2 linked regions of the Drosophila melanogaster genome follow. The protein of the gene in region 1 interacts with the protein of each later gene in a biochemical or structural test. Each region holds a gene or a part of one and is shown in the gene's direction. Other genes may lie near its edges.

Evidence for each region.
Region 2: the proteins of woc (region 1) and HP1b form a complex in vitro, tested with the Drosophila melanogaster proteins (one study listed by BioGRID).

Annotation. Positions count from the first base shown.
Region 1 is NT_033777.3:27,256,973-27,267,054, reverse strand, and holds the start of woc (without children), read left to right. Parts: upstream 1-2,999; 5' UTR 3,000-3,278; exon of another isoform or gene 3,279-3,320; intron 3,321-3,603; 5' UTR 3,604-3,662; coding exon 3,663-4,500; intron 4,501-4,567; coding exon 4,568-4,828; intron 4,829-4,894; coding exon 4,895-4,939; intron 4,940-5,106; exon of another isoform or gene 5,107-5,111; coding exon 5,112-6,964; exon of another isoform or gene 6,965-7,005; intron 7,006-7,069; exon of another isoform or gene 7,070-7,174; coding exon of another isoform or gene 7,175-7,198; intron 7,199-7,257; coding exon 7,258-8,333; intron 8,334-8,396; coding exon 8,397-8,782; intron 8,783-8,846; coding exon 8,847-8,972; intron 8,973-9,036; coding exon 9,037-9,158; intron 9,159-9,216; coding exon 9,217-9,346; intron 9,347-9,411; coding exon 9,412-9,511; intron 9,512-9,574; coding exon 9,575-9,749; 3' UTR 9,750-10,082. Other genes in the region: l(3)mbt (lethal (3) malignant brain tumor), read left to right, coding at 1-552; CG14260 (uncharacterized protein), read right to left, coding at 771-1,058, 1,107-1,568; CG14262 (uncharacterized protein), read left to right, coding at 1,649-2,326, 2,380-2,640.
Region 2 is NC_004354.4:9,078,676-9,084,596, forward strand, and holds HP1b (heterochromatin protein 1b), read left to right. Parts: upstream 1-2,578; 5' UTR 2,579-2,683; coding exon 2,684-3,406; 3' UTR 3,407-4,071; downstream 4,072-5,921. Other genes in the region: CG7246 (uncharacterized protein), read right to left, coding at 272-499, 571-1,755, 1,820-2,123, 2,181-2,272; APC4 (anaphase promoting complex subunit 4), read left to right, coding at 4,379-4,490, 4,566-4,808, 4,867-5,266, 5,324-5,500, 5,562-5,724, 5,794-5,921.

The DNA of each region.
Region 1 (10,082 bases):
GTGCGAACCAATCCACTCCACTGGACCAGCTGGGATGTGTGCGAGTACATAGAGCGTGCCCTGGATTCCACTGACATTGCCAAGGTGATCTTCGAGCAGGACATCGACGGCAGGGCGTTGCTGATGCTGGGGCGCAAGGAGTTGGATACGTACCTGAAACTCAAGGTGGGCCCGGCCGTGAAGCTCTACTCCCTGATTCTGAATCTGCGCATCGCGGTCGTCTGCAAGTTTGATTCAAAAAACATCGAACTGGAGAGCAATACTGCTGGTCCGATTCAGAGGGAGATGGATACACCTGTTTCTGCGATAAAACAGCTGCCGGAGCAGTCCCAAACCAACGGCTACAAGACGGATCACGACCAGGAGCTGTCCGAGAGCGGGGACGACGATGACGACGAGGATGTGATGCTCGACAGCGATGACTTTCTCAGCGTTAAGCCGAGCTGCCTGGTCATTGACGAGGACGCCGATGGGGATGGCGATTGTGAATCCGACGGCGATGTGGCGATGGTGCCGATGGAAGTGCGCACGCCCTTGCGCACGTCCTCTTAGGACTCCGGATACCAGGCATCCGCTTCCGTTGATTGATTTATAAGATTATTTTGTTGCACCGGCCTCGGCCCATTCGGGTATTATGTTTATAGGTAGTATTTATTCTTTAAGCCGATATGAATTCGATTTTGTTTGTTTTTCGATCCCTAATCCAATAAATGATCCCTCTAGATATGTACACCATCCTGTCTATTTCCTTGGGTGGTAAGCAAACCTATCTATTCCTCCGGCGAAGGTTTTTCTTCTTCGGGCACAACTATGGTGCCATCCACTTCGAAGAGAACGTGACCGAACAACTGGGTTACCTCAACGAGCTGCTGGAACTGCTCCATGTCCTCGTAGCGCAGGTTGTTCACATCCTGGTAGTTCTTCAGCGAGGTCAGCAGTTCGTGATCGGAGAGATCTCCATCCTTTTTCAGGATTATCATCAGAGCCTTTAGCTCCTTAACACTCAGCTTGAGGAACGAGTTGTCCATGAGCACCTGCGTGGCTACGGGGAGGATTTTCTGGAATGGTATGGGGATTAAGCGAGATAAAAGTGCGGAAATTCATACTTTCGCCACGAGATCCATCAGTGCCGGATGGTGGTGCTCGCTGGCCAGGTGGAAGACCTGCAGAACCACCTCCATGGGCCACTCCTGGTGGGCCAGCTTGTCGATGTAGCAGTCGATGAAGTCCAGCATCTCGTAGCGCTCGGCCAGCAGCATGAGGTCACCGCACATGTCGATGGTCACCGCATTGCACACCTCGTACGTGTAGATGTAGAGGAGCAACGCCTCGTAGGCGGTGGGAGAGGCGTCGTCCACGCTGATCACTCGCTTGTTCTTCTGGAACTCGGGATCCCTGATCAGGCGCTCGAACTCCGCGGAGGCGGAGATGAGCATCACCTGGTGGCAGCGGAAAATGCATGGACAACGCTTGCCCTCCTTCAACTTGTCCGGTTGCGAGACATGGAGCTCGCAGTCCGACTTTTGGCCATTCCGCAACAGGTCCAGGCGGCGTAGCTTGCAGTTCATAGTGACTGGGGATTTTTTGGAGGCTTTGCTCTCACATAGCACAAAATTTGGAATTCGAAATTAGGGTTTCCCTGGCAGGAATGTCAGACTCTGAGAAGGAGGCCGCCGGCAAAGCCCACCTGGGAAGCAACAATCGGTGGTCCGACCTGGAGGAGGAGGAGGAGGGTGAGGCGAACGACCAGGGAGGGATCCAGAACTTGAGGCCGGAACTCGTTGTGCCCAGAACCACAGCTGCATCGGATGTTGAGGAGAATTTACCATTGGGTTCTCCGAGTGATGGGTCCAAACGCGCTACGAGTAGAAACCGCAGACTGGAATACTTTCGCAGTGGAGCCGATGCCGATTGCCAGGTGCACGTCCTGAGCAACTGCCCCCAATCCGATGAGCCGGCGGTCAGTGTGTGCTACAAGAAATTTGGCTGCCATCGGATCTTCCTGGCCACTGCCTCCGACAAACTGGAGCAGGACGTGTACCAGAACAAGGACTGGAACGGCGTACTCCAGATCAATGGGGTTTCGCCCGAGAGCGTGGAGATCTTCCTGGAGTTCATATACACCTTCGAGGTGACCTCGCCGCTGGTCCAGCTGAAGCTGGTGGGGGATATGTTCATCCTGTCCTGCGCGTACAACATGCCGGAGCTCCTTCGCTCCTTTGCTGAGAAACTAAAGGAGCAGGAATTGCCTCTGGATGGCATCTTTCCTGCCTTCGACCTAGCATTCCGGCATAACATCATCGATGTGGAGCGCGTTTGCATCGAGGTTAGTAGATTGGAATATAAAATGGAGCCTTAATTTAGTTAGTTATCCTTTAGAAAATCATAGAGGAAGGCGCATCATTGATCCACGAACCCAGTTTAATGAAACTCCCGGTCTATGCTCTAAACTACGCCATCCAGCACTGGCTGGTGGCGGATGCAGTGCCTCCCGATGAACTCATCACGATTTTAAAGCAGTATCAGGAGATCAATGAGATTACATTCGCCAACACGCAAAAATTCCCGCACTTCACCAAAATTATCAAGTATTTCCCCAATGTTCTTCTGGACGCCGAGGGATTCATCAATCAAAACTAGAAAACTACTTGGAATTCCCAAAAGCTTCGCGCATAAAACCCAAAAATTTAAAAAAAATAAGCCAATAAAATATCAGTTCTCATTAGCATTGTATTGGGTATCTTTTGCATATGGCAAACTGGAAGCTCATCTAAGGGGAAGCTTAGATGAAAGACAGTCTATATTTAAGTTGTAGTTTTCAATAATTTCCTATTGATCAAAAGCGATCCAAACTTTAGAAGCATTTTTCAAAAAGATAAACGAGCAGTGCTGCCAACCGGTTGCACCACTCACGCCGGTATTTTCTTATGCGCCATTTTCGGTATTTTCCGGCAGATACCAGCCAAGAAGCGAACGCGTTATGCGAGGGCCGCATTTGGTACACTAGTGCGCCATTTTACTCGCATAAAGCCGAAAATTCACACAGTGGCCAGAAAGCGAGAAATTGCACAGTGCAAAAAGGTGTTTGGTAATTGATGAAAAGTTTTGCGCGTACCGTGAACCGACCGTTAATGATGTGCCCGCACGCGCAGCGGTGAAAGGCAGTTAATTCGCCTGTGGAGACGCGCTCACCACAACAAACTCGTGCTGTCCGAAAAAAAAAGTCGGCGCTCGGATTGCGGATTATCGAAGTACCGTACGGCAAGGCAGCAAAAAAAGTACGGAAAAGCCGCCCATGCAACGCGGCCAAAAAAGATAATGCAAGTGCAGTAATATTAATTGCCTGGCAGAGCGGCGCATACAGACACACTCCTCCTTTTTTCCCCACTTTTTTTGTTCTCTGGAGGCGCATGTTTTGTTTTTTCGTGCACTGTACCGTGGGCTCAGTGTGTGTGTGTGTGCGTCGGTGTGCCTGTGCGTGTGTGTGTACACATTTTAGGCGGCAATGGTGTGGGGCCCTGGCCAGCCGATAGTCCGCCGCGCCGCGAATGTTATCGATAGACGAGCCCTAACCATTTGTTGTTTGTTTTCCTTTTGTTGCAGTTTTCATGTCTATATAAACAAACGTACAGCGAAAGTCGGTTAAAAAATCAAGCAGCGAAATGGAGGAGATATCCAGTTTGGACTCGTTCGGCGCCGATTCCAATGCGCGACCGGAGTCGGCCACCCCCAGGTCGGAGGAACAACAGGATCAGGATCGACAACAGACTGCTCCGGCGGCCAGTGAAACTCTGGATACGCCCGCCTCGCCGCCAGCGGAGGATGCAGCTGCGCAGGAAAGCAAACCGCCTCCTTCCAAGGAGGCGGATGACGACTTCGAACAGATCTCCGAGGGATCATTAGACGCCGATGATAACCAGTCGCGGGATAAGGCGGCTAGTACACCAGCTGATCCCGTGGATGCGGAGGAGCCCGCCGAGGAGCCAACGCCCAACGAGGAGCCGCAAGGCGGTGAGGATGAGCAGCCACAAACAGAAGCCGTGAGGGTAGATCCACAGGAAGAGCCCGAGGAGGCGGAGGAGGAGACTGATGCCCTCCAGGCCACTGCGGAAGAGGTGGAGGCAGCGGCCGCCGAAGCAGATGCTGTGGACGGCGGTCCCGCTTCACCCGAAGCAATGGATGTGGATGAAGGCGAGGTGGATGCAGAAGGTGAAGCTGAGCAGGAAGCAGAAGACGACGCAGCTCTGGATCGAGAGGCGACAGATGATGTAGATATGCAGTCCGTGGGCGCAGATTCACACCAGGCGGAGGATGCAGAGCCACCGGAGGGCCGAGATGAGGTGGACACAAGCTTAGAGGAGCAGGAAAATGGCCAAGATCCTGATGAACGGGAGAAAGATGCGGCCGCCGATGAAGATGATCCGGATGCAGAAGGAGATGCGGAATCGGAGCAGGTGGATGAAAATGCCGAGGAAACTGGTGAGGCCGAACATGGCGATGGTAAGTCTTAGTACTTCTTTGATGCATGTTTATAAAAGACTAAATGAATGAACTATTTACATTATAGACACAGTGGAAAATGTTTTGGAGCCAGAGGAATCAGATGTTTGCCTTATTCCCGATGATCAAGAAACGGAAGTGACTGAAGCTGAGAAGGAACTGGCCCGCGAGAATGCCGAGAAGGCCGCCGAAGAGGAGGAAGCCGAGGAGCGGCAAGCCAAGACACCCGATAACGATAGAAAGTCCCCGGCAGATGCCGCCGCCGATCCAGAAGACGACAGTGCAGCTGCCGTTGACGCCACCGACGTATCTCCAACCACGCCAACTGGTAAGTGCTCCACACTAAGACTTGAAATGCCCTATCCCACATCTACTCTATCCATTTTGCCTGCAGATGCTCAAGCTGGAGCTAAGTCGGCGGCAACAGGCATTGCAGAAGGTGAGCAGATTGGGTTAATTCCTGGGCAAAACTCACTAACTGCTTCATTCGACTGCATTCTATTCATTTAATTCTTGCTTTAAATTTAGTTTGTTATTACAAAATTGGCTCCTAGCATACAGAACGATTGCTTATTAAAATGTATATAACGTAAATCCCCTTTTTTTGCCAGCAGATGGAGTAGCTGCAGCAGCTAACGAAGAGGAGGCCGGTGGCGATGTTCCCGATCCCGACGAGCCCACAGCCGAGGAATCCTCCAGTGCCGGAGCGGGTGAACCTGGTTCCACGCCGAAAATCATCATTAGTTGGATCGTTGGCAGCGTTCAGAAGTGCAAACAGTGTGGCGATGAAAAGAATTGTGGGTTTCGGTACAGGAGTCCAGAGGAGTCAGAAGAAATGGATAAGGAGAAGGAAAACGATAAGGCAGAGGAGAACGCTGAGGAGGGGGAGGAGGAGGAGGCTCGGCAAAAGCCTGCTGCTCCCAGTGGGTTCGAGTACATCTGCGATACCGCCTGTGTCGACGCCCTGCTAGAAGATCAACCCGGCAAGTACTTTGTACGCCGCAAGAAGTTCCTGGTCGAGGAAGTGGTTCGAGAAGAAGGCGCCGCCGAAGCGGAGGCTAGCGCCGATGGCGAGGGCGGAGATGCCGAGGAGGAAGCTACTCCAGCCAACACGCAAGATTGCCTGCAGTGCAAGGATAAGACGCGGTGCAAATATTTCATTAAACAGGACCAGGACTGCTTCTACATTTGCAATGACGATTGCTTCAATCTGCTCAACGCTGAGGAGCCAGATAAATTCAAGCTGAAGCGGCACTCGATTCGAGTGCGCAACATTGGCGCCACAACGCTGCAGCCACCGCAAAATTCGCCCACCAAACGGACCGACGGCAGCGTGGTGGCCAGGACGGTGGAGGAGGCAGAGACGGCGCGCCTGGACAGGATCGAAAGCTTCCGAAGGCGCTGCGCCGACTGCGAGGCGGATATCAATACGGACGAGAAGCAGCTCATGTGGGAGACCATGGACTTCTGCAATGAGGTGTGCCTGGGCAGCTATCAGCGCACCATTGGCTCCACCTGCGAGACCTGCAAGCAGGAGGTGAGCTCCATAGCGCTTGGCAAGTACTGCGTGCGATTCGGTTTCGATGTGCGGCAGTTCTGCTGCGCCGGCTGCCTTAACACCTTTAAGAAGGGTCTGAAGACGTGCTCCTGCTGCCAGAAGGACATCAGCGGCGGGCAGGAGGGCTTCCTTGCCCCGGTGGGTGACAAGGATCAGTTCAAGGACTTCTGTTCGCAATCCTGCCTCCGTCGCTACGAAAGCATGTGCAATCCCCGACGAAAACTACGCACCGATGTCTGCGGTGTGTGCAACAACCAGAAGCCAGTGAGGGTGGAGATGCTGCTGGAGGACAGAGAGCACTACTTCTGCTCGAATCCCTGCTTCTCCGCCTTTAAGTTTGTGAGCAACGTGAACGCTGATCCGTGTGCCATGTGCTCCAAATACTTTGAGCGGCGGAGCGCCGAGTCCTACACCATCTACAACGAACAGCAGTCACCGAAGGTCTTCTGCTCGCGGGTCTGCATAAATGTGTACATCATCGTCAACAGGCACATCGTCTCCTGCCAGTGGTGCAAGGTGAAGAAGTACAACTTTGACATGATCTATCAGATTGGTGGGCCGCACGATCAGGAGACGCTCACCTGCTCCATCAACTGCCTGACCATGCACGGCGTTAGCTGCAACATCTCCGCCAGGGCGGTTACCAAATGCGACAATTGTTCCAACTTCAATACGCCACAGTATCATTTGACCATGTCGGATGCTTCCATGCGCAACTTTTGCACCTACCAGTGTGTGATGCAGTTCCAGAATCAGTTCGCCCGCGCTCCCCTCACGCTGGACAGCGACCTACCGCCCAGTAGCGCCGGCAGCTCCAAGTCCCAGCAGCAATCCAATCGAGGCAACAAGAATGCGGCACCATTTCCCACGGGCCTGCCCAAACGTGTCAAACTGAAGCTCTCCCACGTGAGTCAAAAACTAAATAATAAACTAAAAGGGTACACACTGGGTTTTTTTTAAGTTTTTACAATCGAATGATAGCCATGCAATAAGTGTTAAAATATTGAACGTAAACGAAGTATTTGCAATTTTTTTTACCTGCTCGCTTAATTATTAATACATTTACTTCAATTTGGCTTTCAATTCAAGTTTCAATTGCAATCCTAATTTCATTCAATGTCCACCAAAATGGGAATTAACGTAAATTAATTAAGTATCATACCTAAGTTGCATATAATTAATGTCCCCGATAATTGCAGACTGGAAAAGGTGGCGTTGGAGGCAAGAAATCCGGCTCCGGCACCATGCTACCGGTTATATCCACGGTGCAATCGCTCGCCAGCGGCGAAACCGAAGCCCGGATCGGCAATCTGACGGTTCGTCGCAAGCGTGGACGTCCACGGGAATCGGGAACCTCATCACCGCCGCTGTCCATGCCGGGTGTCCATCCGCCAGCACAGCGAGGAAGGCCACGCAAGCACGCTGTAGACTACTCGGCGCGTTCACCATCGCCCACGATGTCAGGTGGCAGCTCCCACATGGGCATTCCGGTCAGGCGAAATACTACCACGACTATGGATTTCGGGCCGGCTACGGTAACGGAGACCAAGATCATCACAGTGCCACCATATCCCAAGGCTGTGCGAAACGTGAACATAAGCTGTAAGCCCTTAACGGTGACCCAGGGCGAGCAGTGTAGTCCGGATGTGCGGGATTGCGCCACCCAGACGGAGAAAGACTACTCCAACAAGGTGCTCATCCCGGTTCCGGTGCCCATCTTCGTGCCGCAACCCATGTACATGTACTCGGCTCCGTTCCCCGTACCAGTGCCCATTCCGCTGCCAATCCCGGTGCCTATTTTCATACCCACCACGCGCAACACCGCGCAAGGCATACTTAAGGAGATCAAGAAGATACAGGACAAGATGCCAGAGGATCCACTGGAGGCGGAGTTGCTTATGATGGCCGAGATGGTGGCAGAGGAGAAGCACGAATCGGACTCCGATTCGGACAACGAGATCAAGCCGGATCCGGGCCTGGTAGCTCTGCAGTACCAGAACAGCCTCGAGTCCGTCGCCCAACAGCAGCAACAACAGCAAGTGGTGGACGTTAGCGGAGCCGGACATAATCCCTACGGCGACGATATGCTGCAGATAGCCCTCAAGATGGCCACAGGCGACTACGACAATCATCACCAGACCTCGACGGTGGATCTGGAAACGTCGATGACGGCGAATACGATCAGCAGCCAGTCGCCGATGGGTCACGACGGAATGGGTCAAATGGGAGTACATCATCTAGATCAGCAGCATCACATGCTTGATGCCACGCAGCGGTGAGTTAAGAGAGATGGCAATCAGAGATCAATACTCAAGTACTTAAATGTGATGACTTTCAGAACCGCACGTGGACGCAAGCGCGGCGTAGGCGTCGTCATGGACCCACCCAACCGCAACAGCCGCTCGCCGGTGAAAAGGCAGCGCGGCGGCGAGATGGATCACTCGGCCCTGCAGCAGCAGTCGCAGCAGGCACAGCAGCCGCAGGAGAAGCCCGACGCCCAAATGTTCCTGAAGTACACCTTCGGGGTGAACGCATGGAAGCAGTGGGTGATGACGAAGAACGCGGACATCGAGAAGAGCTCGATGCGCCGGCGGCCCTTCAAGACGGAGCTGCTTCAAATGACCGCCGACGAGTTGAACTACTCGCTTTGCCTCTTCGTCAAGGAAGTGCGCAAGCCCAACGGGACGGAATACGCGCCGGACACCATCTACTACCTTGTGTTGGGTATGTAGTTACTCCCCAGGTTTACACATGTACCATTTGATTTTATTGGAATCTCTTCCTTCAGGCATTCAGCAATATCTGTATGTGAATGGACGCATAGACAACATATTCTATGATCCGTACTACGAGCGGTTTACCGAGTGCCTTGACGAGGTGGCGCGCAAGTTCTCCGTGCTTTACAACGATTCGCGTAAGTTGAATCAACTTGAAATGAGTCAGTTCCAGCGTAACCACATCTTTATACACCTAAACAGAATACATTGTCACTCGCGTGGAGGAGGAGCACTTGTGGGAGTGCAAGCAACTTGGCGCCCATTCGCCGCATGTTCTGCTGAGCACGCTAATGTTCTTTAACACCAAGCACTTTAATCTGACGGTAGGAGTAAACGATGCCGCATTTGTTGACCTGGGCTAAATTGCGTTTGGTTTTTCAGACCGTGGAGGAGCACATGCAGTTATCCTTCTCGCACATAATGAAGCACTGGAAGCGCTCATCACAGAATTCCAAAGTTCCTGGCTCACGAAACGTGCTCTTACGATTCTATCCACCGCAGGCGGGTCTGGGTAAGCTCTTAACTAAGCTTCGTATGCACAGAAACTGAGCTCTTACTTAACTTTTTTTCAAACAGATGCCAATCCGCGGAAGAAGAAAGTCTACGAGCAGCAGGAGAATGAAGAGAATCCGCTGCGCTGTCCCGTCCGCCTTTACGAATTTTATCTCTCCAAATGGTTAGTTAGTATGCTTAATAATTACAAGAATCGATTGTTAATCATGGTACGTTTGTTTAACAGCCCGGAGAGCGTGAAGACCCGCAATGATGTCTTTTATCTGCAGCCGGAGCGCTCGTGTGTGCCCGACTCGCCGGTTTGGTACTCGACGCAGGCTCTGGGGCAGGACGCACTGCAGCGGATGCTGCACCGCGTCAAAATGGTCAAGGAAATCAACATAGCGCTACTAACGACTTAATGTTTAGTTAGGCAGTTATATCATTGTGTACGTGCACGGCTTGTCCTGCAATGACACCCGGAGGACGATTCTTCGGCTTGGTGCTTAGCACATGTTTGTTTGCGGGCAAAACCAAATTGGACTAACCAAGGAGCGAGAGTTGTGCTATATTATAAATTGTTTTAAACTTATTTGTACGCATATTTCGATTGTCTCTAGTTGCGATAACGCTGATGGAGGTGACCTTGTATAAAATGTGAACGCCAACCAAGCACATCTCACTTTCGATTGACTAAACTTAATCTAGGAATCAAAAAAATCCAAGCAGCAATATACACAACTAAACTTAACACC
Region 2 (5,921 bases), on another chromosome or scaffold:
ATTCTCGTATAGCATTACTCATAATTTAACCGCTTTTGAAAAGGACATTTCAACAATAGGATGGTTAAATGAGAACTTTTCCATATGACTGTACTTTGAATTCACACACCTGCATATTGCCAAAGTAAAAATCAGATTTCATAAATTATCTTATAAGCTGTATATTCACAAGTCCTTATTTTAGAATCGAATCACTATAGACAGTCCGAAAGATCGACTTAGAAATTAAGTTAATGAAAAAAACAGAAGCACAAATAAACTATTTAGCCAACTATATCGATGCGCCCACATAGGCCAGTGCCCGTTCCGCCTCAAACGCGGCGACATATTGAGGCTCTAGGGTGCTGAGAGCCCGCTGGGTGAGCAGGGAGATGTTCTTCGCCTCGCCGTGATCTCGCTCGAAGGCGAGATACTCCACCCAAACGCGCGGCTGTGTCTTGCCGAAATAGCAGGCCATAAAGTCGTAGCACATGCGCCAGTATTTCAGGCTGGCCTGGTCCTGCAACAGATAAAGTAAATTAGTTGCGCCTCGCAATTATATGCCAAAGTAGCAAAGATAACAAAACATACACAAGCTGCCGCACTGGACTCCAGCTGAACCATTTGGCGGTGCAGCGCCAACGACATGGGCGGTAGAATGGCCAGCTTGGCGTACTCCTTGCGTGCTTCCTCGACAGACCGCTCCTGCCACAGATAGCGCAAATAATCGGAGCGCAGCTCACCAAATTCCGGCCACGCAGCCTTGCAGGCGAGACCGTAGATCTCATCCAGCCGGCGTGCGCCCAAGCTATCCTGCCGAGTGCGATAATACAGAATGACACTGCGCCACAGCGGCAACGCCTCACTGCCCATGCTCTTCTGGATCTTGTTGAATAGCTCATAGATCAAGGGCTCACTGTCGCTTTGAATGTGCGTGGCCAGAAGAAGCTCGTGCATCTCCACCGATGAATCGTTTTTCAGGGCTTCCGTGAGTATGGTGACAGCTGCCTCCCTTCCACTCGGAGCAGTGCAGAGCATCTTTCTTAATGTGGCATAGTGTTTCACGCCCATCAACTGAGAGCGATGGCCCGCCTGCAAGGCATCCGCTAGGCACTGTTGCTTTAGTATACGCTCCGTCTTTCCATCGCTATTGAGTGCCAGCATGGCATCCAAATACATATTCCACATTTCTGTCGTTTGCAGCTCCTCCACCGCCGATTTGTATACAGTAACGCAGAGTTGAATGCGTCGCTTGAGAGAGCGGCCATTTACGGAACGAGATTTCTTGCTGGCCGGCTCTTCGTCACTGGTATCCAAGTCCTCCTCCTCCAGGTCGCCCAGATGAAAGCCGCGCAACTCTCGCTGGGCAAGCAAATCCCACAGGCCCGGCTCCCGGGGGAACTTCTCTTGCATATCATCGATTATCATTCGCTGCAGCTTGCCCGTCAGCTCCTGATGATCCTCACAGCTTTCTAGAAGCTTAACAAAGTAGTCCAATTGGGTAATATTGGCCATGCTGTTGCGGTAGACCGCCTCCACGCGTTCCAATTTGATGTCCTGTTCCGAGAGCGTATTCTCGGCTAAATTGCGTTCGTTGCTGGCCAGGGCAGCCTCTTTCAGCATAATGTCAAAGAAGCACTTGTTAAGTGCCTCGGAATCCGGATGTCTCTGCAAGCCACGCAGCAGGATGTCCTTGACTCGATCGATGTTGAGCCGATTGAACTCGTACAGCCATAAGGCGGCGTCCACCCAAAGATCCGGCGAGTCGCCATGGTACTGCAAAAGAATAACAACAATGGATAAGTAATCAATGGAAGTGAGCAGGCTGGCAAATACTAACCAGCAGCATCTTCTCGTATATGCCCGCCACCTCGACAGGATTTGACTTCCTGCTGAACTTGATCCAGTTGCTCCACAGCCGTCTGTCGTGGTTAAACTTAGCCAAGGCCTCTCTGTACAGGCGCATGATCCGCGTGGCTATGGAGGCCTTTAGACCGGTGAGTTTAACGTGCATCTTCTTTTCCTTGTCCACGATGGTCATGTGCATGTGCTTCTCGTACAGTATGAAGTCCAGGTAGTCGGTGATGCTCTGGTGGCTCTTGTTGATCTTAAGGAACAAGCGTTCCCGCCTGCTAACGATTTCTCTGCAAGAATATGGATGAAATGGGGGCACAGACTCCAAATTCGTTTGGATTTCTCACCTGACCTGATCCGCTGTGAATACGCTGTAGTTCTTCATCTGCTCGTATTCCGGCAGCAGGCGCTCCTGCATCTCAGCTATGAACTCGGCCATATTTGCTTAGTTTTCTCCTTAATCGTACTTAGTAATATTGTTTATTTCTTTAAAAACTAGCGCACGTGCAACGCAACGGCCGTTTATCGATTGTCCAATTTCTGGAGAGTTATCGCTGACAGGGATGGTAGAAAGGGTAATTTAAAAAAAATATATATATATGTCAAAATTTAAAAATGGTCAAGAGATAATGATAAAATTACAATTGTAAAGTTTTTAAAGTTTCAGCTTTTTAATTAAAATGCGTTTACTGGCCAAGAGAGCGATAGTTGCCGATGGCGAGACCATGGAGTTGCCATCTTGATTTCTTCTTCTTCTTCAATCTCTTTAATCGCACGTATAAATAAGTTTTGGACGCCAAGAAAATAACAAAATTCGCAGTTGGAATAACACAATTAGCGTAAAAGCACAATGGCCGAATTCTCAGTGGAACGCGTCGAGGACAAGCGAACGGTGAACGGACGAACGGAATACTATCTAAAGTGGAAGGGCTATCCGCGCAGCGAAAACACCTGGGAGCCGGTGGAGAATCTCGACTGTCCAGACCTGATAGCCAACTTCGAGGAGTCGCTGAAGAACAACAAGAAGGAGACAAAGAAACGCCTGTCCACCTCCTCCACACCCGAATCCATACGCAGCAAGCGCAAGAGCTTCCTGGAGGACGATACCGAGGAGCAGAAGAAGCTGATCGGCTTTGAGCGCGGTCTGGAGGCATCAAAAATACTGGGCGCCACCGACTCATCCGGGCACCTAATGTTCCTCATGAAGTGGAAGGGCAGCGATCACGCCGACCTTGTGCCCGCCAAGCTGGCCAACACTCGATGCCCCCAGGTGGTCATACAGTTCTATGAGGAGCGCCTCACCTGGCACACGGGCAGCGGCAATGGTAATGGGAATACGAATTCCGTCAATTTGGGATCATCCGGTGGCCTGGGCTCCGTCGGCGGCAGTGGGGCCGGCGATGATACTGCTCCCGGCAGCGTTGGCACCACCGGTGGCGGCAGCAATATAGATGGCGGTGACGAGGAGGATCCCGAACCGGCCAGCCCCATTGGCAGCATCAATCAAGACGAGAATATCAAGCCGGACGAGAGTAGTGAGCTGGACAACGGACAGCCGGATGCGGATGACTAGTTGAGTGGCAGATACAGATGACTGTTTCGGATTCACTCGCTTATGTGGATACATACACACCGGCTTTATACGATATATGTACATACATATTTCGTAGCGTAGCCCTTAAGATAAAAAAATTGGACAAACTGAAGTTCTGGCGTCAGTCAGCGGTAGTATATACATATACATATATACATATACATATATATACATACTTAATCTATAAGTTCAATTGTAAAATTGTTTTTAACATCTACCTTTATTTTTGACCCACATAAATGTTTTATAAGCATATAACATCACAGTGTTAAATACAATTGGCCTAAACTACGCTTAACCTGATCAATGAGGAACGACTCAGACTGAAGGACCACCTTTCTATCTTAACAACTATCCAGCTTTCTAACACTTTAAGTTAAAAAAAAACACATTGAAATTGCCAATATTTTTGTGTGGAAATCAAAAGACGCCAATTGTGCTGCCCACCTAGCGCCTTTATAGCCAGAATTTGAGATTTTTTCCTAACAGGCAGTTATTAAGATCGATTAATTTAGATTTTCCCGATTTTTTCATTGTTTCGCAAATCATTATGTGTTCCAAACAAAAGCTTTTAAAACTATGTAGGTTTGTAAGACTAAAGTAAAGTACGAATAAAACAAAATTGTGCTGGCAGATAATTTGCCATGCCGTGCATAAGTACAAATATCTAAGAAGTTTCAATCATAAATACACATTCTTTCTCGCTGTCCCGAAGTTTTAATACAAATATTTTGTTTAAACATTTGACAAAAATCAAATAAAATGTCAAAAATGACTGAAGAATTGGAGAAACCAATTTGTAATAGCTACTATTTCCGCTCATCTCTGATCGATAGCAGGAATATTATTCGATAGACTGCAACAGGAGCCGGCAAAGTGTAAACTAAAATTATTATATTGAAATATTTGATGCACAGTAGAGACGCCGCGAGCCAATTCTAGCGTGGAAAGATGGCACAAACGAGCTCCATGAAGTTGCTGGGCGCCCGCAACATGTCCTGCATTGTGGAGCGTATGGAGTGGAACAACAAGATGGATCTAATTGCCTACGGAACGGAAAAGGGTGAGCGTCTGCCTCCGAAATTGCCAAGAATCACCAAATAAACTGCCAGTGGGCTTATCCCAATCATGTGGATAGGTGAGGTGGTCATCCAGCGTCTGAACTGGCAAAAGATTGTCACCTTTCCCACGCCCGGCGAGGATGTGCGGGTGCGTTCGCTCAGCTGGCAAATGGACGAGACACTCCTGGCGGTTGGCTACAGCAACGGCAAGGTGGCGCTCCTGGACGCCGAGAGCGGAACGATAATATCAGGCCTCATTTACGAGGACGACATCAAGAAGGTCTACTTCAGCAAGGCCATCAACTCGCAGGAGAACCTAGGTAAACCAGCGATACGAAATAAGCTACAGGGATTTGATTGTGTTATAAACGATTCTAGGAACTTACACATGTAATGTCAAGGATAAACACCGAAGGTTCCTGCCCAAACTGCAGCCAATGACCAATATTGATCCGTGCCTGAAAACCCTGGACCAAAAGTCCTTTCCAAAGGGATCACCTTGCTTTCTGGTGGTGATAATGCGCAGCGGCAAAGTGCACCTACTGCTCCTAGGAGCCCTGCAGGCGGGCAGCATCGATCTCACACAGCACATTCTGCATCCGCACGAGTTCGATGTGTACGATGTGAGGATGAACGGAGACTGTAATGCCATTTATGCTCTTTTGCGGGACGGTCAGGAGCTGATATTGCTGCACTTTCAAAACCAGGTGCTGCAGGATTGCATGGCACCCATGCTGGAGCTGGCAACGCATTGTGCCCACATCCTAGAAACCAAAAAGTAATACATTTATTTGCCAATAAGTTATGTTACTAACCATCGTTTGGCGCTATTTAGCTATATTAATGACACGCAACAATGTTTGACGGAGGCCTGGGAGACCGTGCAGTTGGAAATGGACAATAAGCTAACCAGGTACGCCAATTCCCAGCCGTACGGAGTGATATCTGCCCATTTTCTGGAGCTGCACGTCTTTGGATTCGCTACCTTCGAGGTAGAGGAGTTTTTGTTCGAGTGAGTGGCTAATGTATTGGTCGATCCTCATGCTCATCATATCGACATGTTCATTTCGCAGGACTCTTTCCGAGAAGGGTTTCAAGAAGATTGCCAACTCGGTGGACCTTAGTTTAAGCAATCTGCAGAGCTTAGTTTTCAAGCAACTGAATGGAGCAGCCATCAACATGTTCTATTTCCTCAACACAATCGCGGGTTTCGGTCGCATGTCGCACTTTTTTGAGGTTAGTTGAGGCTTTGCTGGTTTTCCATTAATTATAACTAATCATTAGGCATCCTAATGTCATCATTAGTCCCTAATCTCTCCGGATGTGGCCAACGAAGCGATGCGAGCCTGTGGAGGATTTGTGCTCAAAGTACACGAGCTGCAGCGAACAATCGACACGTTGGCGTACGACATGAAGCTCTTTCACGCCTGGAT